Diceros bicornis minor: one gene and its partners. The protein of the gene in region 3 interacts with the protein of the main gene of each other region in a pairwise test. Links are inferred from orthologs where the notes say so. Each region holds a gene or a part of one and is shown on either strand. Other genes may lie near its edges.

Region 1 (7,915 bases), on a different chromosome or scaffold from region 3:
CTTTGTCTGTTTCGCCCACCGCTGTATCCCCAGAGCCTAGGACAGGCCTGGGATATCTGCTGAAGGGAGGGAGGATCAGCGCTCACAAACACCTGGCCAGCCCTGGCACAGAGAACCCTTTATACAGAGGGGCTTGGTCATCAGATTGGAGTCGGAGAGAGACAGGTGCTGACCTGGGGCTGAGGACCTGAGGGCTAGGGTCTCAGGGCTGAGTTGGGGAGGGGGCCACCCTCCCTGTGGGAGCTGGCAGGGGCTGCCTCTCAGGCTGCTGTGCCCTGGCCAAGCTGAGCCGCCCCTTGGGCAAGCCCAGGAATGTGAACAGACAGACACACAGCGTCCCGGCCTCCCTGCCTCTGGGTGGGGCCTCCGGTACCCACACCCAGAGCCGGTAATGACGCTGGGATGGGACCACGAAAAATAGGCCACGGAGCAGGACAGGCCATGCAGCTGGCCCTGTGGCCCAGACCCAGCCTTAGGGTCCAGGGAGGAGCCCGCTCACAGCTGAGGCAGGGCCGGCTCATGTGTGGGGGCAGAACCCACCACAGGGCAGGTCCCAATGAAAACTGGCTCCTCCCCTGACCCCTCCCTCTCAAAGTTCAACATGCCTGGTCCCCTCTCCAGCCACCATGTCCTGGCAAGAGAGGACCACCAGGACCACCATGCCTCATGGAACTCCACCAGGGTCACATGATGTGTCCTGGGCCTGGACAGAGGGACTTGAGGTCTGGGATGCAGACACATGAAGGACCTCATCCCGGCCAGGCCAGGCCCTGGACGGAAGTGCCCTGTCCACGTCTCTGAGGCAGCACGGTTTCTGAAGACAGCGTTTGCTCACAGGGAGCCCTGGGACCTCAGAGGCCAGGAGAAGGGACAGGCCCGCCAGCCCTTCCCAGCCTGACAGCAACACATTGGGAAGGTGGGCTCTGAAGCCCACACTAGCTGCTAGGCCTCGAGGGGATGGTGTGAGGACCGAGGAGTGCAGGGCTGGAGCTCCTGGCACAGAGTCACAGCCGTCCCTCCTTCCCTGTCCTCTCCCTGATGCTCCTGGGGTAAGAAGCTGCGAGATCATTTTGCTCACATCCTGGTGTCTCCGCACATAGCAGAGCCTCACCTCAACCCAGTGCAGCCATGTTGGGGAAAGGGCTGGTTGTCTCTCCCCCTCAGCTAACCCTTAGCCCCACAGGAGTGGGGGCAGGGTGGGTGGGGTGGTATTCAGCTCAGAGGTGGCCTAGCATGGGCTCGGAGCCACGTCCTTGCCACGTGGCCTTGGCAAGGGGAGACGGGGGTGCTGTGAGATGAGGCATGATGGATGTGGAGAAGACACTCCCTGGCAGAAACTGAGGCCTGGAGTAGGTGAGAGGCTGGCTCACTGTTCACGTGAAGCCCCTCACCCTCAGAGTGACAACGGGGGGTGAAGGTTCACAGCTACACTGCCAGCACGACACGGGTGCCCACGCAGCAACACTGAAGTACGTGAGCTTGGTCCAACTTGAACGTGCCTGTTCCTGGGGGGTGGGCAGACACCAGGGCTGGGGCCCCACAGAGATGGCTCTGAATGCATGGCCTGGCCATGGCGCCCCCTCTGGTGCAGCAGAGGCTCCTGGAGGCCCCGCCCGCGGCCCGCTCCTGCCCAGTGCTCGCTCACCCCACTGACTCAGTGTCGGGTCTCAGTTTCACTCTCTGCTCAGACTTTCGGCCAGATGAGCTCCCCAGGGTGGGGCAGTGTCTACTTCCTCACCTTGTTCTGGGTTTGACTCCCCCTGGGCTGCCAGGGGAAGACCCTGAGCCAAGGCAAGATAGGACACGCACACGCAGTCACATACCGATGACCCCCACCGCACCCCCTCGAGGCCTCGCTCCAGCTGGGACACGCCCACCCGCCCGCTCACCGTCCCAGGGATGTAGTAGAAGATCTTGTCGGCAGTGGTGTCCCCGTCGGGACCCGCCTCGGTGCCAAACAGACCAGCCAGCTTCCTCGCACCATCCTCTCTGGGGATAAGGGAGGGGGGCTCACAGCCTGGCCCCCAAGGCAGGTTGAGGGCGACCCTGTGACCCAGAGGCCGAGGCCGTGCTCCTGCCCCCCTCACCTATTTCCCTTCAGCGAGGGCTTTCTGGAGAGGGAGGCCCGGAGCCTCCGAGGCGCCTGAGGGACGCAGTGGCTGTTTCCCATGGGTGGCGGTGACTGCTGCCCCGAGCACAGCAGGTCGACGTCTGGGTTCCTCTGTCCTAAGCCTCCTGCCCCCACCTCCTGGGGCGGGGCTCCGGGAAATCTCGCCCTGTATCCAAGACCTGGGGAAGGGTGGAGACTTTCTGGGAGGAACCTGGCCCCTACCTGAGCAGAGCCGTTCAGTGCTCTCCTGAGTCTTTCACACGTGCAGTCCAGCCTGCCTCTCAGCCCAGTCAAGAGCCCCCAACTCAGCTGCCAGTCTGTACGGGAAGGGCCTTGAACACCTAGCCTGGGAGTGCGTGGCCTGCCTGCACTCGGCCTGGGGGTGCCTGGGGCTGGAGCTCCCTGAGTCCAGGGACCACCTTCCAGGCCTCACCTGCGTGAGCGCACATCCTGTTTCCACCTAAATGCCGTCTCTGAGTCAGCAGTGACTGTAAGGGGGTGTGTCCTTGCTCTCAGCCTCAGAAGCGGGAGTTTGCAACATCAGGGAAGGGGCCAGAACCCTCTCCCAGGCTCCTTTCCCGCCCCGGCCCAATCCTCACCCTGAGCCAACGTCAGGGTCCCCGAGGCTTACCCAGAATCAGGAAGGAGACCACAACCCTCCCAGGTACACCCAGGCTGTCACGGTGAAATGGGAAGAATGCCATGCACGCCACCCTCCCCAGAGCCTGAGGTGAGCCAGGGGACACAGGAGCCTCTCAGGACCAGGCTCATGCTCACGGTGGGCGCTCATCCAGGACATCACCAGCCCTGCCCCACCTGGACATCACGGTGCTGCCTCAAAACCCCCAGATGCCAATGCAGCGCCTCAGCCCAGCTGCAGACCCACCCCGGGGCCCTCCCGATCAACAAAGACAGCACCCTGAAAGGCGGAGATGGACACTCAGCCTCAGGCCCAAAGAGCCCAAAACACATGTTTATTGTTCAAGTCAGCTCATATTGCTCTGTGTAGTCTGGGGCACATGTGTGCCCAGCTCAGTGCAGAATCCAGAAAAGACACCACCCTCACAGGACGGAAGCCCAATTTGTGCCCTCCCCGGGAGCGTGCCTGGCTGGGCAAGGAAAGGGCGGTATGCAAAGTGCAGGCTGGGGGGTCTGCCTCCGCTCAGAAAGCCCCCCACCAACCCTGGCTGCTCTGCATCTGCTCCTTGGTCCCTCCAGGCCTGCAGAGTCGGAGTTGGCCCAAATGTCCACCCACATCGCTCCCTGTGCCCCCGTTGGGGTGGGAGGACACCCTGGAGGGCAGCTTGGTCCCAGAGACACAGGACACTTTGAATAAACATATAAACTGGCAGCTGCAGCGCTGCTCGTCGGTCAATAAATAATGAATAAATAAATGAGTAAATAAATAAACTGCACACACAGAAACTAACTCTGAGGAATGAACACAAACGGTGGCCTTGACGCAGAGACGCGACAGACGGCGCAGGACGCCCCCGGGGGGACTGCCCCGGGGGGCTTAAGGCATGTGGAAGGCTGTGGGCTGGCCTCTGTGCAGGCCGCGCCACGGGTCAGAGGCTGGTGGACGACACGGACAGCGTGGGCGAGGAGGGTGGCGGGAAGTTGAGCAGCTCAAGCACCGCCACGCCCACGCTGCTGCGCCGCGTGAACATGCAGGACGCGGCCACCCACTTGTTGGTCCTCGGGTTGTACTTCTCAATGGAGTTGAGACTGGAGCTGCCGTCGTTGCCCCCCACGGCGTACAGCCAGCCGTCCATGGCCACCAGGTCGTGCGTGCTCCTGGGGGCAGGGGGGTGGTGGGCTTGAGTGGCAGGGCGGGGCCCCCAGGCCATGGGAGGAATCTCTGGAGTTGGGTTGGGGCATGGAGCTGGGGGAGCCCGGGAGTAGTGGGCAGGGGGCAGGGGATGGAGGGGTGGACACACCCCACAGTGGTGAGGCTGTGGGGCACGTATGTCAGTGTGTGGAGGGGAACACCACGAGGGGGACACGACTGGCCAGCGAGGTGGGGCTGGTGCACCTTCGGATGTTCATGGGCGCCACACTCTCCCAGGCACCGGCCTTGGGGCTGTATCTCTCCACCGAGTTGAGGCAGCTGGTGCCATCATTGCCACCGGCCACGTAGAGGGCCCCCTCCAGCACTGCCACACCCGCAGAACTGCGCCGGCTCAGCATGGAGGCCACGGGCGTCCATGCGTTCACCTGCAGTCGACGGGATGGGATGGGGGCAGCCCCATCACAACCTCCCTCCACCTCCATGGTGCAGACCCCTACTCCAGGGCAGAGTGCTTGGGGGTGGGATGTAAAAGGCTGACCCTCAGGGGACGTGGGTGGCCAAAGTGATGACCTCAAACAGCTCTGGGGAATAACCGTGACAGGGGCATATTTCGCACCTGGGGTTCATACTTCTCCACGGTGGCCAGGTGTGAGGAGCTGTCGTAACCACCCACGGCGTACAGGTTCCCATCTGCAGAGAGTCAACAAACCCATGGTGCACCTGTTGGCACAGGGTCTCAGGTGGCAGGAAGGGTGGGCACTACATGAAGCAGGCCCTGTCACCCACCGAGCATGGCCACGCGCACGTATCGTCTCCGGGTACTCATGGCGGCAACAGACGTCCATGCTCCCATCAGGGGGTCATAGCGCTCGGCACTGTGGGCATCAGGACCGCCGCTGACCTTGAGCAGTGGCAGAAAGGTTGTCCTGGCCCCTGGACCTGTCCTCCCCATGGCAGGACTAGAATCCTGTGCTGGGTAGTCATGGAGACTGACCTGAGTCTCCCTGGAACAGGAAGCAGGGCCTGCTGGGTAGGCACTGTCCACCTGGGCCCAGCCCTGGACTGGTGGGAAGGACCCCAGAGAGGAAAACGGGGCAGCTGGGCTGGCACATATGAGGAGGCCTGGGGACCCTGGTGACTCCAGTCAGGGGGAATCCCCCTTTGCTCCCCTCAAGCGTGACCTCTGCAGTCCTGATGGAGCCGTACCTACTGCGGAGCCAACCCCAAAAGGCCACCCAACCCTGACCCCAGCCACTACCTGTTGAGGCAAGAGGCCCCATCGTAGCCACCAGCTGCATACAGGAGCCCGTGCAGGGCAGCCACGCCCAGGCAGCTGCGCCTCGTGCCCATGGACACCTCTGGCTGCCAAGTGTTGGTGACAGGGTCGTACGACTCTACGGTGGCCAGGTCTGAAGTCCCGTCGTAACTAGGAGAGAGGTCCGCTGCCGGTCAGGAGTGGCCTGGAGAGCATATGCCGAGCCCCTGCCCTGAGAGCGTCCTCCACACTTACCCGCCCACAGCGTACAGCCGGTTCCCGACGGCTGCGACGCCCACTCGGGCCCGGCGTGTGGACATGGAGGCCACTACGTGCCAGCGGTCACTGCGTGTGTCATATGCTTCACAGTCCCCGTGGATGGCGAATAGGCTCCCACCACCTAGACAAGAGAAGGTGAAGGGCAGGAGAACGGACCCAGGGAGGCAATGGGCTGGGGGCTCTGGCACAGCTCGAGGTCGAAGGTGTGGGGACTCCAAGAGCGGTTGGGGACAGGGACTAGGGAGTAGGTCACACTACACAGGGTCCTCCGTGGAGGAACAGAGGAGCAGGAGTGGGGTGGGTGCAGGACGTGACCAGCACAGGGTGGAGGAGCTTGTGCTAGGCTCACGGAGAGAAGACGCAGGGCAGAGACGTGGGGGCTGGACAGGAGGGGACGGGAGAAGTGGGCATACCCACAGCGAAGAGCACGGGGCCAGCACCCTCACAGCGCCGGGGCCGTGTGCGGCTAGTGCCCAGCACGCCCCTCTGCTCGGGCAGCAGGTGGAACTTGAGGGCCTCGATGAGCAGGTCCTTGCAGTCAGGGTGGTGCCTCACCAGGCTCTCGGCGTCCACGTGGCCCAGCAGGAAGTCCCGGCTCAGCAGGGGCAGGCGCACACACTTCATCAGCTGGGGTAGGGGTGCCACAGTCAGGTGGCAGGTGGGACGTGTGGGCACACTTGGCCCCGGCACCGAGACCACCCTCAGACACCCTGAACCTTTCTTTAGGCACATGCCTATACCACCCAGTGGAGTCTCTGGACAGAGGAGCCCAGACACACCTAGGCCCTTGGCCACTGCATCCCCTCCTGGACACCATGGGACCACCCAGGGCCTGGCCTCACCCGAGGGACATGCTGCCGCCGAGCGTCCACGTCATGCTTGACCCAGCTCAGGACGGCACGGTAGACGTCCTCTTCTGAAGGCACGTTCAGGCTGTCGCTAGAGACCAGTTCCAGCACCTGCGGGTGGGGACCCTGAGACCTGAGATTTGGGGAGGACCTTGGGGGCCCATGGAGCCCTAAAGGTGCCTGGGAGGGAGAGTCCAACGAGGGGCCCACTGTTCCTATGAGGAGGGACCAAGCAGGGTTAGGAGCCACAGATCTGGTTCCTAGGGATTTAGTCCAGAGTAGCCCTGGGCATGTGGAACGAGAAACTGAGGACGGTAGGCAGAGGTGTACTCAGAACAGAATGGGGTCAGGAATCAAAGGTGAAGGCTTGGGTGGAGTCAAAAGATGGGGCAAGGGCGGAGGAGCCCAGAGAATGGATGGTAGGGCTGGAACATGGGTCAGAGGCTGGGAATAAGAACCGAGGAGCAAAGGGCCAAGTCTTAAGAGCCCAGGGGAAGGGGGCTGGGGGTCAAGGGCTGGGTCAGGGTCCAGGCTATACTCTAGCTGGCATTACCTGTTTCAGCGGCAGCAGCATGAATTCCTCAGTCTTGGCCACATCCACGAAGTGCTGCAGAACGTACCTGTGTGCCGCCTTGAGCAGGTCACTGCATGAGTGCGTGTCGGCGAAGCCTCGGATGCCCAGACAGTTGGAGGGATCAAGCTGACTCAGCAGGAACTTGCAGCAGGCGTCACGGACGCCGTTCAGCTGCAAGAGGCTAGCGGCTGGGAGCAGAGTCTGTGGGTTGATATGGGAAAGAGGGCCGGGGGAGCAGGGACAGAGAAATGAGATGTGAAGAACTGAGGGGATGGAGAGAAACACAGGGGGGTGCTGGGGACGCAGGGAGAGCTGAGGCTTGAGGCCCAGCGGGGAGCGGACTGAGGGATGAGGCGGCTCACCTGCACGTTGCCTTCGCCCACCACGATCTCAGCTGTGTACGCAAACTGCACCAACTGGTCCAACGCCTGAGGGTCGATGTCATGCAGTGTCACGTGTGTCTGGCGACTCTCGCTCATCTCATCTGTGGGGACAGTGGGTCAGGCCGGTGCCCGCTCTGGAAGATCACAGAGCGCCCCCAGTACCAGACGGGAGGGGGTGGTACTTGCTTGTGAACATGGCATGGAAGTAGGGGCTGCAGGAGGCCAGCACCACCTTGTGTGCCCGGATCTCCTTGGCGGCCACGTGCAAGACGATGTCACACAGGAGGCCTCGCTGCCGCATGCGGCTCATGGCCACGAAGGCATCGTGGTAGTGCCGCTTGGAGTTGTGGGACACAGTGTGGCCCTCGCGGCTCAGCAGCTGCATTGCACCCTCCATGGGGGCCGTGGGCCGGGCCTGCCGCGGCCGTGCACGCTCTGCCTCAGGGCTGCAGATGGGCAGAGCCAAGTCAGGGTGCACTGTGCAGGGAGCTGCTCACCCAACCCAGACCTCGGGCAGAGTCAGGGCACCCGGGAGGCCACCCCTCCCCTAGCGGCCCAGACCTGGCTTCCATCAAGGACCAGCACTCCAGCACCACCTCCCCTGCCGCCTGGGCCCCACCCTACTCTGCTTCCTTTGCTCCAGGGAGCCTCCCCGGGGTCAACAAGACTCCTGC
Region 2 (6,782 bases), on a different chromosome or scaffold from region 3:
CAGTGATCTGATGACTGGTAACACTGTCCAAGGCTCCTGATCGCCATGGAACAGAGTTCCGTGGAATCCTGACTCCTGCCACTCTCTACCCCTTTTTTGCAGGTATCTTTTTCTCCCAGCATACCCAATCTTCCAATCTTTGCATAAGCTGTCTCTGATCCCAGAATGTTTTTTCTTCAACTTCTGCTCATTATTTTCTGATGATGCTGTCAATCATCCGGCTATGCTTGCACCTCAAGGGAAGGCTTACCTATGGCTCAGCCTGGTCAATTATAGTCTCCCATCTCTCTGACAATGGTGATTGGCCCAAGGAGTGTGCACATGATTTAAGAAGGGCCAGTTATTGCCCTTCCAGGGATAGGTATACTGAGACTGGAGAAAGCAGCTCCCTTCCTGGGATTTCCAAGCTGCTGCAGCCATGTTCCCTGCCCAGAGGAGATAATCAAGAATGATGGGGCAGTCTGGTGGGGTTGAATCCTTGGTTCCAGCCCAAGGATGCCCTGGTTCCTACAGTTCTTCCTTTAATCACTAGCTTATGTCCTTCCCAGCCACTTCAAACAATCAATTCCTTTTTTGCTTAAGCTAACTTCAGTTGCTCGCAGTGGAGAGAACTTATCAATACAGAGGCCAATAATTTTTTCTCTCTGAAATTACAATGGCCTCCTAAGGAGGGTGAGTACTGTTTACGGGGGGGGGGGGGGGGGGGAAGGCCCTTTTTCTGCAGAGCAGCAGCATAGGTTGCTAGGCTGAGTAGGGCTTACATGGAGTATGGTGGGAATGGGAACAGCTGGATTACTCTACTTAATAGAGAGAGGAACCGAGAGTCCCTGGGGGGTGGAGTAGGGCTCTGCAGGAGGTCAGGGTGGAGGAGGAGAGGAGTGAAGGAGAGAGAGGCCAGTTCTATGGCCTGAAGCCAGGGATTATCCTGGTGAAGGGGAAAGATAGGCATGGAGGGGCTTTCAAGAGCCAGGGTATTTAAAGGACCAGAGGACTGAATGGTCAAGTCTAAAGTCCTCACTTTGAAGTAGACTTTTTTTTGGCAAACGTCCTCTCCTTCAATAAGCCAATAAGTCCCAATAACGTTTGGGACTGCCTGGGAGGGTATTTTGTGTGGAAGTTGAGAAAGGTTGCCCTTCAGCGTGACCATGGGATTCTGAAGTGCTCTGGGGAGGGCTTGGACTTCTACCCCATGTGGATTAGGGGAGGGGTGTTGAGTCAATTGTATTTAGATCTCAGGGGACAGGAGACTGAACCTGACGTTTGGGTTACATATATTATTTCCAGTGTTAAAATAGTACAGGTTCATGTTAGAATGGCTATAATCACCAAGACAAAAAACAACAAATGTTGGAGAGGTTGTGGAGAAAAGGGAACCCTCATACACTGCTGGTGGGAATGCAAACTGGTGTAGCCTCTATGGAAAACAGTATGGAGATTTCTCAAAAAATTAAAAATAGAAATACCATACGATGCAGCTATCCCACTACTGGGTATTTAGCCAAAGAACTTGAAATCAACAATTCAAAGAGACTTTTGCTCCCCTATGTTCACTGCAGCATTATTCACTATAGCCAAGAAGTGGAAGCAACCCAAGTGTCCACTGACTGATGAATGGATAAAGAAGATGTGTTATATATATACAATGGAATACTACTCAGCCATAAAAAAAGACAAAATCATCCCATGTGCAACAACATGGATGGACCTGGAGAGTATTATGTTATGTGAAATAAGCCAGACAGAGAAAGACCAACACCATACGATTTCACTCATATGTGGAAGATAAACTAACACACAGAGAGAATAGATTAGTGGTTACCAGAGGGGAAGGGGCTTGGTGGGTGGGCATAAGGGGTAAAGGGGCACATATATATGGTGATGACAAATAATAATATACAACTGAAATTTCACAATGTTATAAACTATTATGACCTCAATAAAATAAAAAAAGGACAGCAAAAAAATATATAATAATGCAGGTTCTTCAAAGCAAAATTAGAAAGTGGGAAAATACTCGTTCAGCTTAAATACTGCACTTCCAGGCAGCCTTCGTGTCATGGCCCCTCTTATGGATGGCTTTTAGAGCATTAAGTCTGAGGACACTGAGGAATGTGCTAGCATCACCCATCATCTGGGGGACCTGGGACAAGTCTTTCAAGCCTCAGTTCCCTCACCTGTAAAATAGGAATAAGAAATCAAAGTTTTTCAAACAACTTCTTCCTCAATCTTCTTTCTAGGAATAACCAAGACTCAAGATGGACAGGGCAGCTCCTAACCCCTCCAACAAAGCCAGAGGTGCCCAGGGTAACAAACAGCAGGTAGCAAAAGCTAATTCCATCCTGGGAGAATTAAGTGAGCCTGGTGTGGGTGGCCATTCTCTCTACTCTAAGTTGTCTATCCATCCCTCTCCAGTGGTGAGCTGCTCTGGGCTCCCTGAGTCCAGCACAGTAATGCGAATTCCATTCAAGAACCAAGGAGAGGGATGGGAAGAAGGATGAGGGAGGGCCCAAGCTGAAAGGTAGTCCTGAAAGAGGTCAGGACCAGCAACAAATGGGGGGAGGGGTTGGCCCCCAGCAAGAAGAAAGGGGACCCGGAAAAGCATGCCCCTAGGGCTGGGTCCAAAGGAGGAGACAGCCCAAGGGAAGGTGCTATTGGATGGGGCGGAGCAGTAGGTCGGCCCGGTCCGACGGGATAGACATACACAGCCAGCCCGGAGTGGAAAGAACAGTTTATGCTGTGCTTTATTAAAATGTGCATCATTCTTTTATTTTAAAATGTGCATCATTGTCTCGTGCTCTGTGTGCGCGATTTCAGCGTGGTGGCCCGCGGCGGGCCTCGTTCCCGCCCGGCTCCCGCGGAGCCGCCGTGCGCAGGCGCACTCAGGTGGCGCGGGCCCGGGGGCTCCCGCCCATGGCCAGATAGACGTCGATGGGCACGTGCAGCAGCGTCAGGCAGTGGCAGCCCGGGCAGCGTCGAAGCGGCCTGGAGAGACGGGGCGCGACAGGGGACGCTGAGGCGGGGTCCCGGCCTATCTTGTCGGGGACGCTCCCGGGGAGGGCACCTGGGGTCCCCGAGGTTTGGGCGTGGATGTGGTCATCTACTGGGGGGACGGGGGTGTCTGGGGATGGGAAGTGGGACAGGGGCGGGGCCGGAAGCGCTCGGCGCGCAGCCGTCCGCCCAGCTCCCCCTCGGGACGGTGGGGAGGGCCGGGACGGCAAGAGGGCTCGCGGGGGGAGGGGCGCCGGCCTCACCTGACTGGGTTGTGCTCCGTGGTTACCGGCTCTGGGCTGTCCTGGGATTCGGGGGCGGCAGCAAGGCCAGGGGAGTCTCCGGCCTCAATGGGGAATCTCCGACCCTGCGGGGGCTCCCGGGCACTCATGTCCAGGCCCCGGGGCGCTCTGCGCGGGGAGTGGCGTTCAGGCTGCTCCCGGGCCGCCAGGCGCCCCCTCCCCGCGCCCGCGCCCTGGGTCGTTGCTCACCTGCCGGAGGCCGAGGCCGGACCCAGGCTGAAAGCAGCTGCCTGAGCCCTGGCTGCGGGAGGACGCTCCGGTCCAAGCGGAGCCGGGCAGGTGTCTGCGGCGTGTCCGGGCCCGGGCGTCGAGGGGGAGGGCTGCATTGTGACCCGGGCCGCGGCGCGCTGACCTCACAGAACCCGTTCCTCCCACTGAGGAATCCCCCAGCGCTCCCCGCCGCCCCGGCACTTAGCGCGGCCGCGAGCCAGGTGCCGGAGGGCTTTTGCCATGGCGCCTTGACACTGGGTCGCGCAGACCCCCAGCTGCCCGATGGGGGCGCAGGAGGAGACGGCAACCAGCTGCGAGGCAGCGTCCACCAAAGGGAGCTCGGCATCCTGGGCCGCGCAGACACCCGTGTGCGCCGCCCCCCCCGAAAAGCCTGCGACTCACTGCCTGGCGTGGGGGCGGGGGCGCACCAGTGACTTAACCCGCGCTGGGTTTGGTGGTGGTCGTTTGAGGGCAGGTACGGGCTCTGCCCATTTTGGCTAAGGGTCACACAGCATTTACATCACAATTGGGCCGAAGTTTTAAAATGTCCGGCCATCTCCCTTCCCACTACCCGCGGCTGCTGTGTACAGACGGAGAATGTTCTAGCGCTGGGGGCGGCTGCGGATGAAGTCCTTGGGGGGAAAAGTAGCTGGCCAAGGGCAATGGTGGAGTAGAGCTGCCTCCTGGAGGCAGCATGAGCTGAGAGGGTGATAGGAAGGAGGCGCTAGACAGCATGGAGGACTTTCTGCTCTCCAATGGGTACCAGCTGGGCAAGACCATTGGGGAAGGGACCTACTCAAAAGTCAAAGAAGCATTTTCCAAAAAACACCAAAGAAAAGTGGCAATTAAAATTATAGACAAGATGGGAGGGCCAGAAGGTGAGCTGGGGCCCCTTTGGAAGAAGGGAGGGCTGGCTGAGGTGGGTGGGTGCTTCCTCCAGTCAGAAGGCTCATTCCTTCCTCCCTTTAGTCTGGAACCAGGGAAAGCAAGAGAGATGGTGCCTCTGGGGTAGGTCAGTGGGGAACAGAGAATGCTGGGAGTCCAGGAACATCACACCCTCCAAAACCCAAAATTAAGGTGGCAGGAGGTGGAGAGTCCTCAGAGGCAGAACTTGAGCCTGCCAGGCCTCTCTTATTCCAGGAGGGGAACAGAGAGAGGCCACGGCCAGGGCTAGCAGAGGGCAGGAGTTGGTGCCAAGGCAGGTAGAGATGGGAAAGACAGGGCTCATGGAAAGAACTGTGGGTCAGGAGGCAGGGGTGGAAGGAGTTCGCTCACCTCACTGTGGGCAAATCAGGCCTAATAACTGAGATTCAATGGCTTTGTCTACAAGTCCCCAAAGCACCTTGATATCCAAGGTCTCACAGGCTGCTCACAACAGTCCCTGAGGCTGGCAGGGACTAGTTCCTTTGAATAATATATTAATGCAAAAATAATAGAGGTGAACATTCTTTGCAATGTCCAAGCAGCTAGACATTTAAGACTGTTAAAGGCAACCAAGGCACAAGACCCAGACGTGATGGGCAGACAGAAGCTGGAAGGTAGGAGACAGGAGTAAGGAGTTAGGCCCTTCCAGCCTTGATACCCCATCTCTTTTCCCCTTGTTTCCTCAGAGTTTATCCAGAGATTCCTGCCTCGGGAGCTCCAGATCGTCCGTATCCTGGACCACAAGAACATCATCCAGGTGTATGAGATGCTGGAGTCCGCCGATGGGAAAATCTACCTGGTGATGGAGCTGGCTGAGGGAGGGGATGTCTTTGACTGCGTGCTGAATGGGGGGCCACTGCCTGAGAGCCAGGCTAAGGCCCTCTTCCGTCAGATGGTCGAGGCCATCCGCTACTGCCACGGCTGTGGCGTGGCCCACCGAGACCTCAAGTGCGAGAACGCCTTGTTGCAAGGCTTCAACCTGAAGCTGACTGACTTTGGCTTCGCCAAGGTGCTGCCCAAGTCACGCCGGGAGCTGAGCCAAACCTTCTGCGGCAGCACAGCCTATGCTGCCCCTGAGGTGCTGCAGGGTATTCCCCACGATAGCAAGAAGGGTGATGTCTGGAGCATGGGTGTGGTCCTGTACGTCATGCTCTGTGCCAGCCTACCTTTTGACGACACAGACATCCCCAAGATGCTGTGGCAGCAGCAGAAGGGGGTGTCCTTCCCCACTCATCTGGGCATCTCGGCTGAATGCCAGGACCTGCTCAAGCGGCTCCTGGAACCAGACATGACTCTCCGGCCTTCCATCGAAGAAGTTAGTTGGCATCCATGGCTAGCAAGCACTTCGTAAAAGCAATGGCAAGTCCTCCCCAATAAAGTAGGGGGAGAAAGCAAACCCAAAACCCGCTTCTAAAATGGTGATATATATTTTACACTTTAAGTTTACTTATCCTAAAACTTACCTACACCCTCCCCAGCCTTACTTCTCTTTTCCTTTAAAGATCTTCATGGAACCAGAGGGCCTCGTTCAGACTTCCCTTTTATTAAGGCTGACAAGTGATTTTCATACAGGTGTTTAACTAAAGTTAATTAAAAATAGACCCCAGAATCATACACATACACGGGGAGGAGAGGAGAAAAATGACCAAGAGCAATCGGAACCACTGTTGTTGCAACTTTCTTTCCAAATAAAAGCAGAAGTGTTGGGAATGCAGAAATGGTCTTGATTCCTTGTCTTGGTGAGAGGTCTGTTGGAGGCCCTGTCCCTTCCTCATCCCAAAGGCCAAGCTGAGTCTGGGATGAGGACAAGGGACTTCCCCACGACCCAGGCTAACCCCCATCCCTCCCCCTCCCCCAGGCTCCAAGTGGGCAGCCACCCTGCACATGGCGTGCATTCTGCCTTGCCTCCAAGGGCAGCTGCCATGGGGGACAAGAACAGACCCCCAGACACCTTCCAGCTTCTGTTGAATCTCTTTAATGCTGTTAACGGCAAGTCTGGAAAAGGTTCAGGACAAAGTTCTTTTTTCTTTCTTTTTTAATTACAAAACTAACAGCTGTTAGAATCTTTTTTTTTTTTCCTTTTTTCTTTTCCCAGCTACAAAATACTCTGGGGAGATGCATTATAATTTAAAATATATAATATTGCACAAACAACCAAAAGGTTAATTAAACTAAAGAAATAATTACAAAGAGAAAAATCCCATCCCATCAAAAAAAGATTCAGCATTCTCTCCATCCCACCCCCTCATTGAAGGTTTGAAGTGGAAATGAACACCACTCTCTTGGCATCCCTGACCACCATCCCTTTAAATCATTGGTGAACACACCAGATTATGTACAAGAATCACCAGAGCAGCA
Region 3 (7,606 bases):
ACTGTCATCGCTACATTTTCATGTGTTGCATTTCTGAAACAGCCTTCATGTTTATGTGCGTAGTCTTTTACTTAAAAGAAGTCATTTGCTTTAGCTATCAATTCCAGCTTCCAGCTTTATCATTAAAGATTGTCGCATCATACTTACATTAATTTTTTTCCCCTTACTCAAGAGAAATAGTTCTCTTGAAATTCACACTACAGACAGAGTTGGTAAGTAGTGCGGTTTACAAAAACAATTTCTTCGTGTACTTCCTATTATGTGACATAGCAGAACTATACTAAAGAAAACTGAATAAAAATAAATTACCTAAATTTTAAAACATATTTTACCAAAGACAGTACTATTTATTAGTAAATAAACCTATGTGCACACAAGAACAGGTTGCACTTTCTACTGGAGCAATGAGAAGCTTTAAATTCAGATATAAAATAGATAATTTAACTTATATTAAACAGAATAGAATTATATACATATACAAAAGTCATGATTGCCTAACTATGCATACCCTAGATCGGACTGGGAACATTTTTCTTAAAAATGCCTATTCTAATTAATCATGTCAAAAGACTGCAATCGGGATATAATTAAAAAAAAAAAAAAGCAATAAAGACAGCTTAATAGAACTCGAGCTGTGAAATCCTAAATAATTAATCTGATAATTTACCTGAACAAAATGTAGAATCATATATATACCAAAGTCCCAGTTACTCATGGTACTTATATAATTTTGCTTATGAGATTATGATCTGTTACTTTTTGTTATACAGATCACATATTCAACTACACATACCTATTTACATATGACATCCGGTGAAAAATGAAGAAATGGTCTTAAATGCTTGGTAATCAATAAAAATACTTTCTGAGGTTTTAATACTACCTTACTACAAACAGAATCCAAACTAGACAATGATTAACTAAGCAAATTTTTTTTCTGTTACTCGTTTGGTTAAATTACTGTTTCAAAACAGGATGGGAATTTATAATTTAGCGAATCTTTTTCTCTGAGGTCTTTACAAGTGATTAACGAAAGTACATCCAGGCTCCCTTTTAAAAATTTTGCTTAGCAGTTTTCAAATAAATGAATTACAATTTAAATAACTTCTTATAGTTTAAATAGCCCCATTTGAATGCAACTCCAGAAAAGGCAAACTTTTAAAAAAAGATAATTACCCTACAACTTTCCATTCCTTTAAATTTTTCCCCTTCAATTCAGGGAATACATTTTCAAAACAGCACAAAATATAATGTCATCAAACAAGTTTAAATTGTATCACATTTTTAAATGATATGGGTCTTACAATACTCTCTATATAAATGGTTAATTCTTTTCTCTGTCTTCTGAAAGAATTAGAAGTACTGCATTCATATTAACAAAGTTTGGTTAAACTGCCAGCAGGCTGACCTTTATTTATAATGCTCGCCATTCTTTACTTCTTTCATACAAAATCTCTTTCCGGTAACCAATAAATTAACCAAATATTTCAAATCATCTTTGCACTTTTCATCTAAATATGCTTTGAATTTATGAATTTACAAGATTATCTGAAAGTTTGGGGTCACTGAAGTGGGTAAAGAGAAAGTTGAAATATTTTAGACTACACTTGTATTCTCACATGAAAACCACAGACAAACTGAAATCAAATGTCATGTGAACCACCCCAATTTCCTTTTCAGCCTACAGCAGTAGCTACAGCATTGTTCTGCTCAAGCCTTTAAAAAAGTCCTTTATGCTTTCTACTTCCTCTTCTCTGCTAGACATCAGCCTTCTGAGGGTCACTGAACCAGGGAGCTGGGAGGATGCGGGTCAAGCATAAACAAGCCCCCCTCTTCGGCCTCCCAGTATAGTGTTAAGGTATACTTTTAGGCCTGCCTGCCTTTGCTCACGCTGCTGCCTCTGCCGGGAAAGCGCCCTCATGAACCTAGCCAGAATCCTGTCAAGGTCCATCTCCAACGCAGTCTACTTGATTTACTTCCCTTAGGTTACAAGTGGACCTAAACCTTCGCTGCATACGATATGAGACTCCCTCCCCTGACCTCTAGCTGTTTCTTGGTTAACTGGTTTACCCCCAAAACAAGAGATCCACGCACTTATTAACTGAAAATAAATATTTACATAAGTGATAGAAAGTTGTTTTCATTCCGACTCATATTTTAAAGCACGAGTACTCTAAAAATCCTCTTTTCCCCTTCTTTCCAACAAGGGGGAAAAACAAAAACAAAAATCGACTTCTGCTCCGTAAACTAGAAAGTATGCACTTTACAGTAAAAATTATCCACTTCGATCAAGCAACATTTCCACTTAAGACCTGTTAAAATACCCCTGGTGACTTTTAAAGCCGCACCACATTTTGCACAACTCGCAGCACAACGGCGATCACCCTTTGGCACTTGATGAAATTAAACCAAAAAAGGTAGAGCTCTCCTGAGGTCTGAATGTTCCTCATTCCTGTTCTAAAACCATTTCAATATAAATCACTTTTTAAATACGAGAATTCTTTGCCCTCCTTTATTTAGATTCTTATTACTTCCCTAATCCTAAAACCAAGTCGTTGGAAATTTCTAAGGTCCCAGCTATCATCATGGCATCAAATTACAGAGCGTGACTTTGATTTCGCACGCAAACCCTGAAGCAGGTAATTTTTTAAAAGGCCGACAATTTGCCAGAAGAGGCGATTTTAAAGACCGAATGTGCCACAACCAAAACTGCGCCCGGAAACTCTGGGCAGCAAGACCCTCGGACTAGCTCCTTCCCCCCGGGCCGGGTCGGCGCCGGGACACTCACCCGAGGCCATGGCTCCGCTCCCCGCGCCGCCCCGCTCCAAGCGTCGGATCGCACGCAGGCTGCCGTAGTCAGTGACCCGCCGCTCAGTCGGGCGGCCGAGGGACCTCTGCCGGCGGGACCCCCGTCCCCCTGACCACCCCCGGGGCCTCCTCCTCCTTCCCGGCCTCCTCTGGGTTTGCGGCTCACACCTTCCCCACCCCCTTAATTCTCGCGCTCCGGGTCACCCGGCGCCGCCGGTCCAGGCTGCGGAGCCAGGGACAGGGGGCGGAGCGCGGCGACAGCCGAGCACCGGAGAGGCCGACAGGCGGGCAGCCTGGCGGGAGGGGGATTTCCCGCGGCTGACGTCGGCCCCTCACCGCCGCCTTCCCGGGGGCGGGGGGCGGGGCGTCCTGGCGGCGGGCGCGCGCGCGTCCGTCCACGGCTGCCCGCGCTCCGCCCCGCCCCTGCCCCGCCCCCGCGGCCACTCCCGGCAGTGCGGCTGGCTGGGGACCCGGGCCGGGGAGCGGGAGCGCGGGATCTTCGGGAGCGCAGGGAACGCTGGGACCCGGGAGGTGACGGTCCCGAGCGTGCGGAAGCTGCCGGCTCCTGAGAAATCCCCCTCCTCCGGGTTGTTCTTCGGCGCGTGGTTTAAAGTTCAGGAGCAGGTGGGAGGGTGCGGTGACGTCGAGAGGGCCGGCCGCCCGGGAGCACTTGGGGGCGGGCCGGGCGGCGAAGTAGGGCTGGCCCTCCCGGCTGGGGGGTTCGACTGCCTGGGGTTTTCGATGGGTGGTTCCCCCTCTTCCCGATTTCGCACATGCAAATCGCCGCCCCCGCGCCGGCAGGCGGCTCGGCGCAGGCGTCCCGGTGCGCCCTCGCGGGGAAGTGCGGAAGCGGCTGTCGTCTGTATTCTTTTGTAATTCGTGTATTTGCATACGGGGACCCCCGCAGTCTGACTTTCCCCCTTTATGTCTAAAATGCGAGGGCTTTGTTAACTTGACGTACTTTACCTACTAAAACTTTTTAAACTCTTACGGTCCGCGCTGTGAGTTCGTTGTCTCATTACGCGGTGTGCTCACAATTAGTGAACTGGACAGTGTCTTGGCATTTGACGAGGATACCGACAAGGAAGGGGGGACTGGAACGAACGTTTAGTGTGTTGCAGGAATCTGGTGTAACTTGGTTTCCTTCATGTGCTAAGCACCTCCCATGTGTCAGTTTACCTCATTTATAAAGTAGTATTATCCTCATTTTATAGATGAGGTAATCGGGGTTCAGAGAAGTTAAGTAATACTTCGGAGAAGTTAAGTCAGTCCCTCAGAATGCTAGTAAAAAGAAAAGCACAGTTTAAACCCAGAAGCTGTCTGACTCCAAAGCTCTATGTCCTTTCCGCTATCCCTTACTGCCTAAAATAAGTCTGAAGGGGGAATGGGGAATGTCAGCCTGCCATACAGGTGCCAAGCTGGAGGACCCAGTTGGGGAAATAATTAAAAATAAAATCTACCAACCCCAAAATATCCTCTCCACAAAATGTAGAAAACTAGAAAAGAATGAAACAGCTTAATTATTGAATAAGCACACTGTGATGCGCTAAGGAGATTACAAAAGACAAAAAAAAAAAAATCTCACTTTATATAGCCATGGGGAGACAATCCATTACATACCTGTTGTCTTTATCCAAAGGAAAAATAATAGGAAGTTACATTTTTGGGGCCAAAAGCCGAGGTTTAAACTCCCACAGAGGAAGAGAGATGGGGCACCATCCTCCTTAATGTTCACATTTCAAAGAGATGGCTCCAAGGACCCCAGAAAGACCTTAGGGGAATGCAAAACTGGCAAGAGGCGTATTTAGGTTTTTAAAAGCTGTACAAACATTTAAGAGAGACAGAGAAATCATTTACAAATTAGGTCTTTCTAAAGGAATTGTTCAGTGAAAACGGAGAGGGTAATGTTCTCTGTCCTTTTTGGCACCAGGGAAATTTTTTAATTTAAGTTTTTAGGCTTTTATTTACCCTTACAACCCCAAATGTCAGAGCTGTAAGGGCAAACAGCACAAATGTTTAAGAATCCATTAGGAGAGTGAGGGACAAATAGGAATGGAAAATATTTTGTATGTGTTTGTTTATATTCCACCTCCAGAAACTGATTGGTTATTTAGGTGCTTCTTTAACTTAAGAGGGGATAATGTTTGTTTACTGAAAAGTTCTGGACCAAACAGAATCTGTCCCAGTTGCAGGACCCCAGACCAGTCCCAAAAGCACTCCAATCTATGAAATCACAAGCTGCACCTTATGAGATTTAGTAACACTACAGAATTTTGAACTAATTAAGTTTTATCTTTTATTTTTCAAAGACTCTGACTTATTTAAATCTCCTCGCTAAGAGGATGGCATGTTTATATTGATTTCCAGGGCTATTTTTATTTGTCACATGATTAAGCTGTGGATTTATATTATCTCACTTTTTTAAAGGTTTTTTTTTTGTAAAACCCTTTCACTATTTTTTGAAGTAGCTGAACCCTTTTTTCAAAGATCCAGTCCACATCTGAAAAGTGAAAATCTTTTACTTGTGCAGGATAAACTTAATTAGAAAAAAAGGAAGATTACAAGACAAACTGATGGATGGGCTAAAAACAACAACAAACAGTGATTTTGGTTTTCTTTGGGACTTATGCTGGGGAAAAATTTATTACTGTAAAGATAATAGGCAGCTAGTTGTTGGGGATTATAGAGAAGAATAGCACATGGTGTTTTTTCCCCAAGAGCTTACAGTTGTTGGTAACCGGTCATTCAGTTCAACAAATATCTACTCTGTGCCAGGTGCTCTTTAGGAGGTGGCACGTACACTAATAAACAAGACAAAATTTCTCCCTTCATGCAGCTTTGTCCCACGTGAAGACATCAAGTATGTTAGCAAATAAGATCATTTAAATTACTATTATTAAAATATTTGTTTCTTTATTGCTATAAAGAAAATAAAGCAATAGGATAGAAAGTCTGAGCAACCAGGTACAACGGAAGGCTGGTGAAGAAAGAGGTTTGAGAGGGAAAGATCAAGAGTTGTGTTTTGGACATGTTAAGTTACAGATGCAGAATGTTTAGACATTCCACTAAACAGTTGAATATGCAGAACTAAAGCTAAGGGGAGAGATCAGGGCTAGAAATAAAGATTTGGGAGTCAGCAGCATTTCATTTAAGATAATACCACCTAAAGAAGGAGTGCAGATACAGAAAAAAAAATTTAGAGAGACTGAGGATCCGCCAAGTCTTAGAGAAGTGGTGGAGAAGAAGGAGCTGCCAGTGAAGTAGGAGGAAAATGAAGAGACTGTGGTGTCCCAGAGAGTGTTTCAAAAAGAGTGAAAGTGGTCAGCTGTGTTAAATGTTGCTGAGAGATTGAAAAAGATGAGAATAAAGAAATGACCTTGGATTTGGCAAGATAAAGGTCATTAATGACCTTGATAAGAGCCATGTCAGTGGAATGGTGGGGATAAAACCTGAATTGGAGGAGGTTGAGAAGAGAATGATGGAAACAATGAGTATAGACAACTCTTTGAAGAGTGTTAAAGGAAACAGAAATGAGGCGATAGCTGGAGCGGTTGTGGAGTTGTGTTAGGCTAAGGGCTATCACTGACAGCTGCAGTCTCAACAGGTTAACATAATTAAAGTCTACTTACCATTTGAGTCACAGTCCAATGTGAATTGAATAACTTTCTTCCAGGAGTAACTCAGGGACCCTGGTGCCTTCTATCTTGTAGCAGCAACATGTGGCTTTCAAAGTCACCTTGGGAAAGGAAAAAGAGTAGAAGATCATGAATGGGAGATTTTTATAGGCCAGGCCTGAAAGAGGAATACATTACTTCTGATCACAGTCGACTTTCCATATGGCCTCCACAGGGGGCTGAGAAATATAATTTAAGAAATGTAATTTAGCTGTGTGCCCAGAAAGAAGAGAAGAAAATAGATATCAGTGAGCCCTAGCAGTCTCAGACACTGAAGTTTTGTTTTGTTTATAGAGGGTGATATTAAGGCATATTTGTATAAAGATGAAACTGACTCAGTAGTGAAGGAGAAATTGATAATGATAGAGAGGAAGGGGGTAATGGGTGGGGAAGGGAGGAAGGATGAAATCTAGAGCACAGGTTATGTGGTTGGCCGTAGATTGGAATGGGGGAACCGCCTCTATGGTAGCAAGAAGGAAGGCAGAGCACGTGCAGAGAACCTTTGTTTCTTGGGACTGGTTTGGTTATCAAATGTCCCACCATGTCTGGTTTTCAGTGTGTGGGATATCATACACCTTGCATTTGGATAGCTCTTTGGAGCCTATGGGGGACCACATAGGACCACGGTGATTGATTTTATTCTGAAATCTTGTTATAACTACATCTATTCAGCTTGATGACAGGTGTCTTTTTTATTCTTTCTAGAACAACAAAAAGTCTCTTATAGAGCAATTTCACTTTCTTTCTCTCACTCTCACTCTTTCATATTCTTCTAGGATCATAGACCTGGAACACGTCTATTTGCTAATCAGATTTGTTTCTTGAAGGGTGTAACTTCTTGATCGCTGCATCATTAAAAAAAAAAAAGATTTTATGTGTTTAAGGCATGTTCTTTTAGTATCAAGAGCAGTGGTTCTCCACCTTATCAGATCAGTGTCCACTGTTTTATAACTTATATTTGTAATATCCCCTTTACTACCCTGAAGTGAAATTCATAGATATATACCTTATGTATATATTTTCAAACAAAAATAATGCTCTAAGAGCAATATCAAGCGTAAATAAAATGAAAGCCATTTGTAAAAATATAATATTGACTTCAATATGTAAACACTTGGCATGAA
Region 4 (8,005 bases), on a different chromosome or scaffold from region 3:
AATCAGAATCACCAAGCAGTGAAAAATGTGGAGGGTGAGCCTTGGTAGGCGTGGGGTGGGTTCTGGGGTGCTGCATTTTTAACAAGCTCACCAGAGGTCCTGAGGCCAGAAGCACACAAGGGACATACTCTTGAGGATCTGCAAGGACTCCTCTTGCTCCAGGGTCCTGGGGCTTTGCGGTTTTACAACATGCAAGGGGCTACCTTTCTCCTTATTTCTTAAGTTCTAAGAAACTCCAGGCATCTGAATTTAGCAAGAGAGCTAAGCCTGGGGGAGGGCCTGGGTCGGAGCTGTTTTTCCTGGGGCTTGGAAGGAGGAGCTGCCACACAACTGAGGAATTCTCATGGCTCCTGGAGAATCTGCCCTAAAGGGGGAAATTACCCAAGCAGAACTAGATCCTGCTGGGGGCTTCATTCCTGTTACTCCAGACGAGCTGTCTGTGGTCCACCTGAGCATAGGACCACCCTCCCCTCTCACGTTCTTGAGCAATTCTTTCCTCTTTGGACCCACATCCATCTTCAACTCCTGCCCCACCTATATGATCATCTTACAGCAAAGCTCTGGAAGAGCTGTCTCCACTGGCTCTCTTCTTCCCTTCTTCGACCCCACCACTCCACTGGAGCAGCTCTTGATGGCGTCACCAGTGACCTCCAAATTGTCAACCCATGGGTCTATTCCATCCTCACGTGATGCAACCTCTCAGTAGGACTGACGATGCAGTTGGTCGGCCCTTACATCTCAAACACATTCTCTGGGCCCCAAGTTACCACCCTCTCTCGGTTTTCCTCCTACCTTGCTAGCTCCTCACATGTTAGAAGACCCAGGGTTTAGTCCTGCAACCTCTTCTCTTTTCTATCTATACTCATTTTCTTGGTGATTTCATCCAATCAATAGCCTGAAATACTATCTAAAGCCAGAGGATTCCGAATTACATGTCCAGATTGGGTCTTTCTTCTGAATTCCAGACTTGTATGTCCAACTGCCCAGTCCGCATTGCCACTGTGATATCTACTAGGCACTGCAAACTTAATGTTCCAAACTGAACTCACCTTCCCCCAGCACAGCTGATCTGGGGAAAAACCTTAGCGTTATCCCTTTCTTCTCATACCCCAAAACCAAACCACCTGCAAATTTTGTTGGTTTTACCTTCAAAATAACCCCAGAATCTTACCACGTCCAGTGCTTCCACTCTGGTCTGAGCCACCATCATCTCCCCCTTTCCTCCATACCATCTACAGTCAACACCGCAGCCAGAGAGATTCTATTAAAATATACTCAGACCATGTCACATGGCTCCCATGGCATTCACTAGGCCTTCTGTGATGTACAAGCCTCCTTACCTGTCTCCAAAACCTCCTCCCACTGCTCTAGCCACGGTGGTCTCCTGACTTCCTCAAACATACCAGGCAAGTTCTTGCCTCAGGGCCTTTGCCCTTGCTGTTCCCCATGCTTTGGTGTGCTTTCCCTCCTGATATCTTCAGGGTTTGCTCCGTTACCTTTAGGTCTTTATTCAAATATTACCATCTCATTGCGGCCTCTCCTGACCATCCTGTGCAAGATTGCAACCCTCTCTGGCACACTCTATTCCCCTTCCCTCCTAATTTTTCCCCATGGCATTTTACTTAGTTATTGTCTGTCTTCTTGACTACAATGTAAACTCCATTAGGTCAGGGATTAAAAAAAAATTTTTTATCATGTATTCTCCCTGCCTAGAACAGTACTTAGCACAAATATGTACATGTTCAGTGAAGAAATGAATGAGACGAGCTTTGTACTGGGTAGAAGGTAATGCCCTAGTGAGGGGACTGAAGCATCCATGGGGGTTATCCTTAGGCTTATCTCCAGGGCAATATTTATCTCAGTCAGGGAGTGGAGTCTAGTTTGAGGGGTATTTAGCTACAAGAAGGGGATACTTACTCAATAAGTAAGACCTGCCCCAATCTAGCGATATTTACTCACATGGAGAGATGTGTATCCTAGTCAAAGGGATATTTACCCAATTGGTGGGGTGGGGACATTACCCTCAATCTGAAAAGTATTTACTGGGGTAAAAGATCTGCCACGGTCTGGGAAGTAATTAAGCCGGTAGTGGTGACTGGTCAGTCTACCGGGTATTTATGCAACTGGACAGGTTTGCCTCAGCCTGGGATGTGTGGACTCAGGGTGTGCGTGTGGGAGACGAAGGAATCTAGTCAAAGGGGATATTTACTCCGGTGAAATTTTCCCTATTCTAAAGTATTCATTCTTATGGAAAGGTCTGCCCCGCTCTCATTCTGAAGAGTTATTTACCGGAATGGAAATATCTTCTTCCTTCTAGTCGGAAGAGATATATGTACCCTGGCGTACCTGGTAGTATCCAGCCAGGCATGAAGTTGTGTGCCAGTCCAGGAGGGACATTTACCAGCTAGTATAGGAGGAGGAGGGCACTCCTTTGCATGGTACACTGCAGCCGCGCCCCAAAACAATTATGACTTGAGGGAACACGGCCCGGGCAGTATTTACTGGGTTAAGTTCTTACCTTGCAGGAAAGAGGCAGAGCCATCCGGCCGGGACAGCAGGTTCTGTTCGCAGGCAAAGTGCCGGAGGCTGCAGCCGGGGCCTCGAGGGTCGGATTCTGTTCCGGACTCCTTACGGATCTTGGCGTGAGTCTGCATCGCCCCGGATCCCACGTGCAGCGCGGACGGTCGCTTCCGTCCAAAAGCTAGCGCTTGCGTACTGGCTGCGTATTCAGTGCGCACGCGCCGATCCAGGAGCCCGAGCTTTGGCGCCCGCACGTGGCTCCACGTTTACCAACAACCTGACCCCGCCCACCCCGCCTCTCAACTTCAGGAAAACCATTGGACAGTAGAGAAGAGGGGGCGGGCCTTGGCATGGGCTCCTCCTACCCGAGGCCCCAGGGCCCTAAAGCCCTGAGGCACTGGTGAGGTTGTCCTCTTCTTTGCCTGTTTGCCTGTTACGGAAACAGCTACAATGAGGCGATCAGAGTAGATTTTGGGAAGCCAGATTGTTTTATCCATCCATCTATGTGTCCTAGCGACCGCAGGACTGGTAGTAGGTGGTGTGCTGGCAGGGTGGTACTGGCATTTGAGTCAGATTTATGAAGGGGCAGCCCCCGGTCTCTCCGAGGAGAGGGGCGGGTCACCGAGGGTTGTTAGCCAAGATGGCGGTGGCGGCTGCCGCGGCGAGTGTGTGGGGGTCAAGTCGAGGCTTGGGTCAGGCTGGCCTCTTGCTCCTGCGGCGGACTGGGGTTCGGGGGCTGGCTAGATCTGTGAGTACCTGGGGCACTGGGGAGTTTTCCACAAGGAGGACTATGGATTCCAACGCTATCTTGAGAGTATGGGGTCCCTGCAGGGAGGGAAGGCAGGGCTGTCACAGAAGGGACAAGGGCTGGGAGAACCACTCGGAGAGGACACTCAGGAAGAGAACTTCCACTTCCTCAGGAGAGAAAAAGCAGGCAGCTCCTTTGTGGGCCCTGAGGGAGGGAGACAACTTGGAGAGAGGAAGGGGACTTACTCCTTGGTTGCCCCCCAACCCCCGGGGAGGCCGCTTGGAGGGACTTGGGAGGAAGACGAGACTTTTCCGCGCAGGGGTTGGAGAGTGAAAGGGGAGACTTTCTTCTCGGTAAAAATCCCCTCTTCAAAGAGGATAAAAGAGAGACCAGGTCCCCCGTCACGGGCTTTTATAGTGCCCTGTATTTCTTTGCTCCTTGGCTACAATTCTGATTTTAAAATGAATTGCGTAAAAAAATCGTTTGATCCTGTGTTCTCTGATAAATGCCAGGACAGGGGTCTTGTCTGTTTTGGTCACTCTACAGAAGAGAAGATCAGTAAATATTTGTTGAATTAATGAAAGGAGAGAGGTCCAGACTTTGCCCGCATTTCTTAGCAACACTTAAAAAATGCCTCGTTTCTTGTCAAAAGGGTGAGACTCCCTTTAGGTTGATGCTGCTATCGGCAAGCTCCCCTAGCACAAATCTAGTTGGAAGCTCTTATTTAGAGGGAGAGAGGCAGTGGGCTGCAGGAGAGCTATGAACTAAAATTTTACAGGTAAGAGAGAAGTGGTTCAAAAGGTGGGTTGTGAAGCTAGACCATGTGGGTTCATATATGTAATGGGCCACTTTCCAGCTGTGTAGCCTTGGGCAAGGGACTGCTTTTTGCACCTAATTTTCTCTCTCTGTAAAATGGTAACAGTGGCCACCTCATAGGGTTGTTGTGAAAATTAAATAAAGTGCTAAGAACTGGATCTGATATATGATAAAGGATATAGGAATGTTGACCGCTGTTGAAAGTGAGGATGGAGGGAAGGGACAGAAACCGACCTTGAAGATGTGAAGAAAGGAGGTGACTTTGGGAGGGCCTGGATTGGTGAGGGCCCTGGAGGGAAATATGTCAAGATCTTGTGGGGTTGGGTCTGACACTCTGATCCCCAGTTTATAAGGAAGGGAAGATGGAGTCTGGGAAGAAGCCCTAGGTAGGGAGAGAGACAGGGCAGGAAGGTGAAGAGGATGGGCCAGGAGTAATATGTGGGAGGATCTAGTGCCGGTGTTAACTTGCAGCAGGTTGCTGGGGCAGGATGGGGGTGGAGCATTCTCCTGCCTTTTGGTTGTTCTCTGTCCCTTTTTTTTGGAGCAGTCAGATTCTCCACAGCTGATGTCAGTCCCAGGAGCCCATTGGCTGGGTCAGTGGGGCGGGACCGGACTGGGGCAGGAGTATGGAAAGGTCATTTATAGCTGATTAAATCTGCTTCCTTTCAGGCTGGTCTCCCTGCTGCCCTTCCTTCTTGCCTCCCTCCTTCATTTTTTTGGGGTGAAGGTGGGGGAGAGGAGGAGGTGTTTCAGAGTCCTTACTTTTTGCTTATATATATATTTCTTTGCTGATGAAGATGCACCCTGAGCCAACATCCATGCCAATCTTCTTCTACTTTTTAGTATGTGGGCCGCCAGCCCAGCATGGCTGCTAACAGAGTGGTGTAGGTTCACGCCCAGGAACTGAATCTAGGCTGCCGAAGGGGAGCATGCTGAACTTAAGCACTAGGCCACCTATATATTTTTAATTTATTAAAGTCCCTGCTTTTTCTTCTCCACTTTTATTTCTCCCACTTATTCTTTCTAAGATTAAAAAAGAGGCATACTTTTTTTGAGCGGAGGAAAGATGTAGTAGCATTTGATCAAAGAAGATTTTAGGCCAGGGCTGTCCAATAGGACTTTTTGCAATGATGGTCCAGTACGGTAGCTACTGAGCACTCGAAATGTGGCTAGTACCACTGAGGAACTGAAGTTTTTGTTTCATTTAATTTTAGTGAGTTTAAATTTAAATAGCAGGTGGCTTGTGGCTGCCATATTGGATGGTGCATTGTTAGCCAGTCAAAGTGAAGCCAAGAGATAGTGTCTTGGGGGAAGGTGAGAAGGCTGTCGTGTAGTGGGACAGATTGGGTTGTTGGGGCAAGCTGGGTTGGGAGGAAGGATGGGCTGCCTTACTGCGTCCCTGCCTGCTTGCCCCTCTTTTCCCCATGCCCTTTGCTGAACACCCTGATGCCCTGGAGGCATTTGCCTGATTTCTGCCTCCCTCCCCCGTCTAGTTGCTAGCAGATGTTTTAGTGCTCAGGGAGAAGAGGAGGAAGAAAACTCGATTGTTAAGGAGTCCTGAGTGGGTTTCTCAGCAATCATCCCTAGAAGCAAGTGGGGCCTTGCCTTAACTCCGCCGTCTCTGAGAAGCTTCTCCTCATCCTCCGCCTGATGCTGGCTAGTGAAAGGTTCCTCCTAGAGCTGCAGCAGGCGCTTTATACCTGCCTCACCAAAAGCCTGTGAAGTAGAAATTCTGATTTTTTCCACCAGGGGATGCAAGTTCAGGGAGACTGTCTCCTGCCCAAGGTGACATAACTGGAAAGGGACAGAGCCGGGATTCAAACATAGGCAGTTTAGCACTAGAGTCCTTCATCCTACCCTGCCCTGTGGTTAACTACTGAACTATCCTGCTTCCTCTGAGATCGCCTCTCTTAATTGTAACTTGTGTGTTCAGTGTTTGTTATCCGTCCCTCCCTGTCGTCTCCAGCCCTCAGTTCAGGGCCTGATTTGGAGCAAATATTCACTATCTACCTATTTGACAACAATAATTGTCAAATACACTTGTTAGCTACTTATATTTATCAAGCATTTATGTGCCACGCACTGGGCTGAGCACTCTATATACATCGACTCATAATCCTCGTGACCCCTAATGAGATAAGTACTCCCATCACCCTCAGTTTACACACAAGGAAACTGAGGCTCAGGCTGCTTTAGTTACACAGCCAGGAGGTGCGGTCTGCTCGGAGTCCTTGCCCTTGACCTTGGCGCCCGGGGGAGTGGCTCCACCAGGGACCACACTACTACCTGCTGGGCCTACCAGACCACCCAGAGCAGGCCTGTTTCCTGCGTAGTGGGAGAGGATGTGGCTTCATGCTTTGTGTAAATCTGCACAGCTTCTGCCATTGTAAGTCGCTGGCCAGTGGGACAAACTCACCCTCCCACCAAAAACAAGAAGAGATGGGTGGAGTCACATCCTTTCTCTGCAGGCCTTTTACCACCCACTGCCTTAATGGGACATTTCCTCAGGGCCCTAGCTCCTTGAATCAGCACGGTAATCCTGGGCTGGGTACCACCGGCATCTCTACAGGCCCAGGAAAGAAGGTGTACAGCCAAGGCCCAACTTGTATGTGGGGTGTGCCAAGGCGCCCTGACGGTAACTCTGCAGCCTCCACAGGCAGAGTCCTGCCCTGACACCCTGGTTGGTTCTGAGCCCTGTGACCCTGTCCTGACCCATGTCATCCCCTGACCTACCCTCCTAGAGCCCCTTCCCAGACCACAGCCCTCGTCCTGTTCTGCCTGTGTCTCCTCTGGGCCTCAGTCTCCCTCTAGAGTGTCTGCTGGGGCCACAGTCTGGAATCACAATCCAGTGTGAGGGGCATTCAGTCCTTCTCCCCAATCCTCTTTTCCCCTCTTCCTTCTGAGGTGCCAGGCATTTTTCTTATTCCCGTTTTCAAACCTTCCTTGATTTTGTTTTTTCCCCTTCTACCAGCTTTTGGGCATATAATATGTCCCATGTCTATGCTGAACTCTGTGTGTGCCTTTTCTTAGGAACTTTTCGCCACAGCCCTCTGCAGCCTTTTTGCAGATGAGGACATTCAGAGAGGCAAAGTGTTTTGCAGAGGGCCATGCAGTGAGATAAAAAATTGGAACCCAGGTCAGTCGGACTCCAAAGCCTTGAACTTAACCGCTCATTCATCTGTTCGTTCAGTAATGGCCTGCTGAGTGCCCGCTCTGTAAAGTGACCTGGGCGTGATCTCTGTCTTCCTGGAGCTTGTGAGGTGTGTGAGAGACAGACAGGGACAAACGGATCCTCCCCGTAGATGGAAAGGTCCGGCCATGTGAGCACACTGCAGGGAGAAGCCTGGTCTGCGAGTTTGACTGCTTCCCTCGCAGGCGGAGGGGAATCTGCTTGTGATGGTGTCAGGCCTGGGCCTGCCCTGCTGTTGGGGCTGTAATTTCCTTTATTTCTTCACAACCACAAATGCACATAAATGCATCCATGTTCCCGCTCCCCCGCTGGAACCTTGGACGGCTACTTCACTGCAATGAAAGGTGGGAGGGAGGGGAACACACTTGAGCACACACACGTGAGACCCAGCTCATGGCAAACCTCAGTCATTCTTCTTTAGCTCCTATGGGAAGTGAAGCCGCGATTACTGAGCTCAGAGCCAACTGGCGACGGTGGGAAGTCAAGAAGTAGATGTGTGGAAACCTGACCAGCAGTGGCACTTGGGGTTAGGATTGTGAGTTTGGGGTCTGGGTGTCAGCCCTGCCCAGGTTTGAAGCCCAGTCCTGACTTAATTAGTTGTTTATTTTTAGCTCTGTGGCCTGGTGCAGGTTACTGTACCTCCCTGAACCTCAGTTTCGTTATCTGCTCAAAGGCAGTAGTAAAGAATGCCTGCCTCACAGACGTGCTCTGAGCACTCAGTGCAACTGTGC

What was found.
Region 1: the proteins of REL (region 3) and PLEKHN1 interact in binary tests that used the Homo sapiens proteins (3 or more experiments, as listed by UniProt). The two-hybrid records come from large-scale screens. The link is inferred for Diceros bicornis minor from reciprocal best matches to the Homo sapiens genes REL and PLEKHN1.
Region 2: the proteins of REL (region 3) and TSSK3 interact in binary tests that used the Homo sapiens proteins (3 or more experiments, as listed by UniProt). The two-hybrid records come from large-scale screens. The link is inferred for Diceros bicornis minor from reciprocal best matches to the Homo sapiens genes REL and TSSK3.
Region 4: the proteins of REL (region 3) and EXOSC5 interact in binary tests that used the Homo sapiens proteins (3 or more experiments, as listed by UniProt). The two-hybrid records come from large-scale screens. The link is inferred for Diceros bicornis minor from reciprocal best matches to the Homo sapiens genes REL and EXOSC5.

Annotation. Positions count from the first base shown.
Region 1 is NC_080752.1:21,946,990-21,954,904, reverse strand, and holds the start of PLEKHN1 (pleckstrin homology domain-containing family N member 1), read right to left. Parts: upstream 3,014-7,915; 5' UTR 2,171-3,013; coding exon 2,088-2,170; intron 1,990-2,087; coding exon 1,890-1,989; intron 1-1,889. Other genes in the region: KLHL17 (kelch-like protein 17), read right to left, coding at 3,679-3,907, 4,146-4,327, 4,519-4,592, 4,689-4,777, 5,161-5,328, 5,413-5,557, 5,850-6,063, 6,279-6,395 and 3 more. UniProt on the Homo sapiens protein: Controls the stability of the leptin mRNA harboring an AU-rich element (ARE) in its 3' UTR, in cooperation with the RNA stabilizer ELAVL1.
Region 2 is NC_080752.1:47,105,558-47,112,339, forward strand, and holds TSSK3 (testis-specific serine/threonine-protein kinase 3), read left to right. Parts: upstream 1-4,233; coding exon 4,234-4,378; intron 4,379-5,110; coding exon 5,111-5,775; 3' UTR 5,776-6,274; downstream 6,275-6,782. Other genes in the region: protein FAM229A, read right to left, coding at 2,880-2,982, 3,252-3,398, 3,480-3,616. UniProt on the Homo sapiens protein: Serine/threonine protein kinase required for spermatid development and male fertility.
Region 3 is NC_080751.1:26,337,956-26,345,561, forward strand, and holds the start of REL (proto-oncogene c-Rel), read right to left. Parts: upstream 3,007-7,606; 5' UTR 2,799-3,006; coding exon 2,789-2,798; intron 1-2,788. UniProt on the Homo sapiens protein: Proto-oncogene that may play a role in differentiation and lymphopoiesis.
Region 4 is NC_080773.1:15,381,786-15,389,790, forward strand, and holds the start of EXOSC5 (exosome complex component RRP46), read right to left. Parts: upstream 3,018-8,005; coding exon 2,886-3,017; intron 2,760-2,885; coding exon 2,519-2,759; intron 1-2,518. Other genes in the region: BCKDHA (2-oxoisovalerate dehydrogenase subunit alpha, mitochondrial), read left to right, coding at 3,098-3,268. UniProt on the Homo sapiens protein: Non-catalytic component of the RNA exosome complex which has 3'->5' exoribonuclease activity and participates in a multitude of cellular RNA processing and degradation events.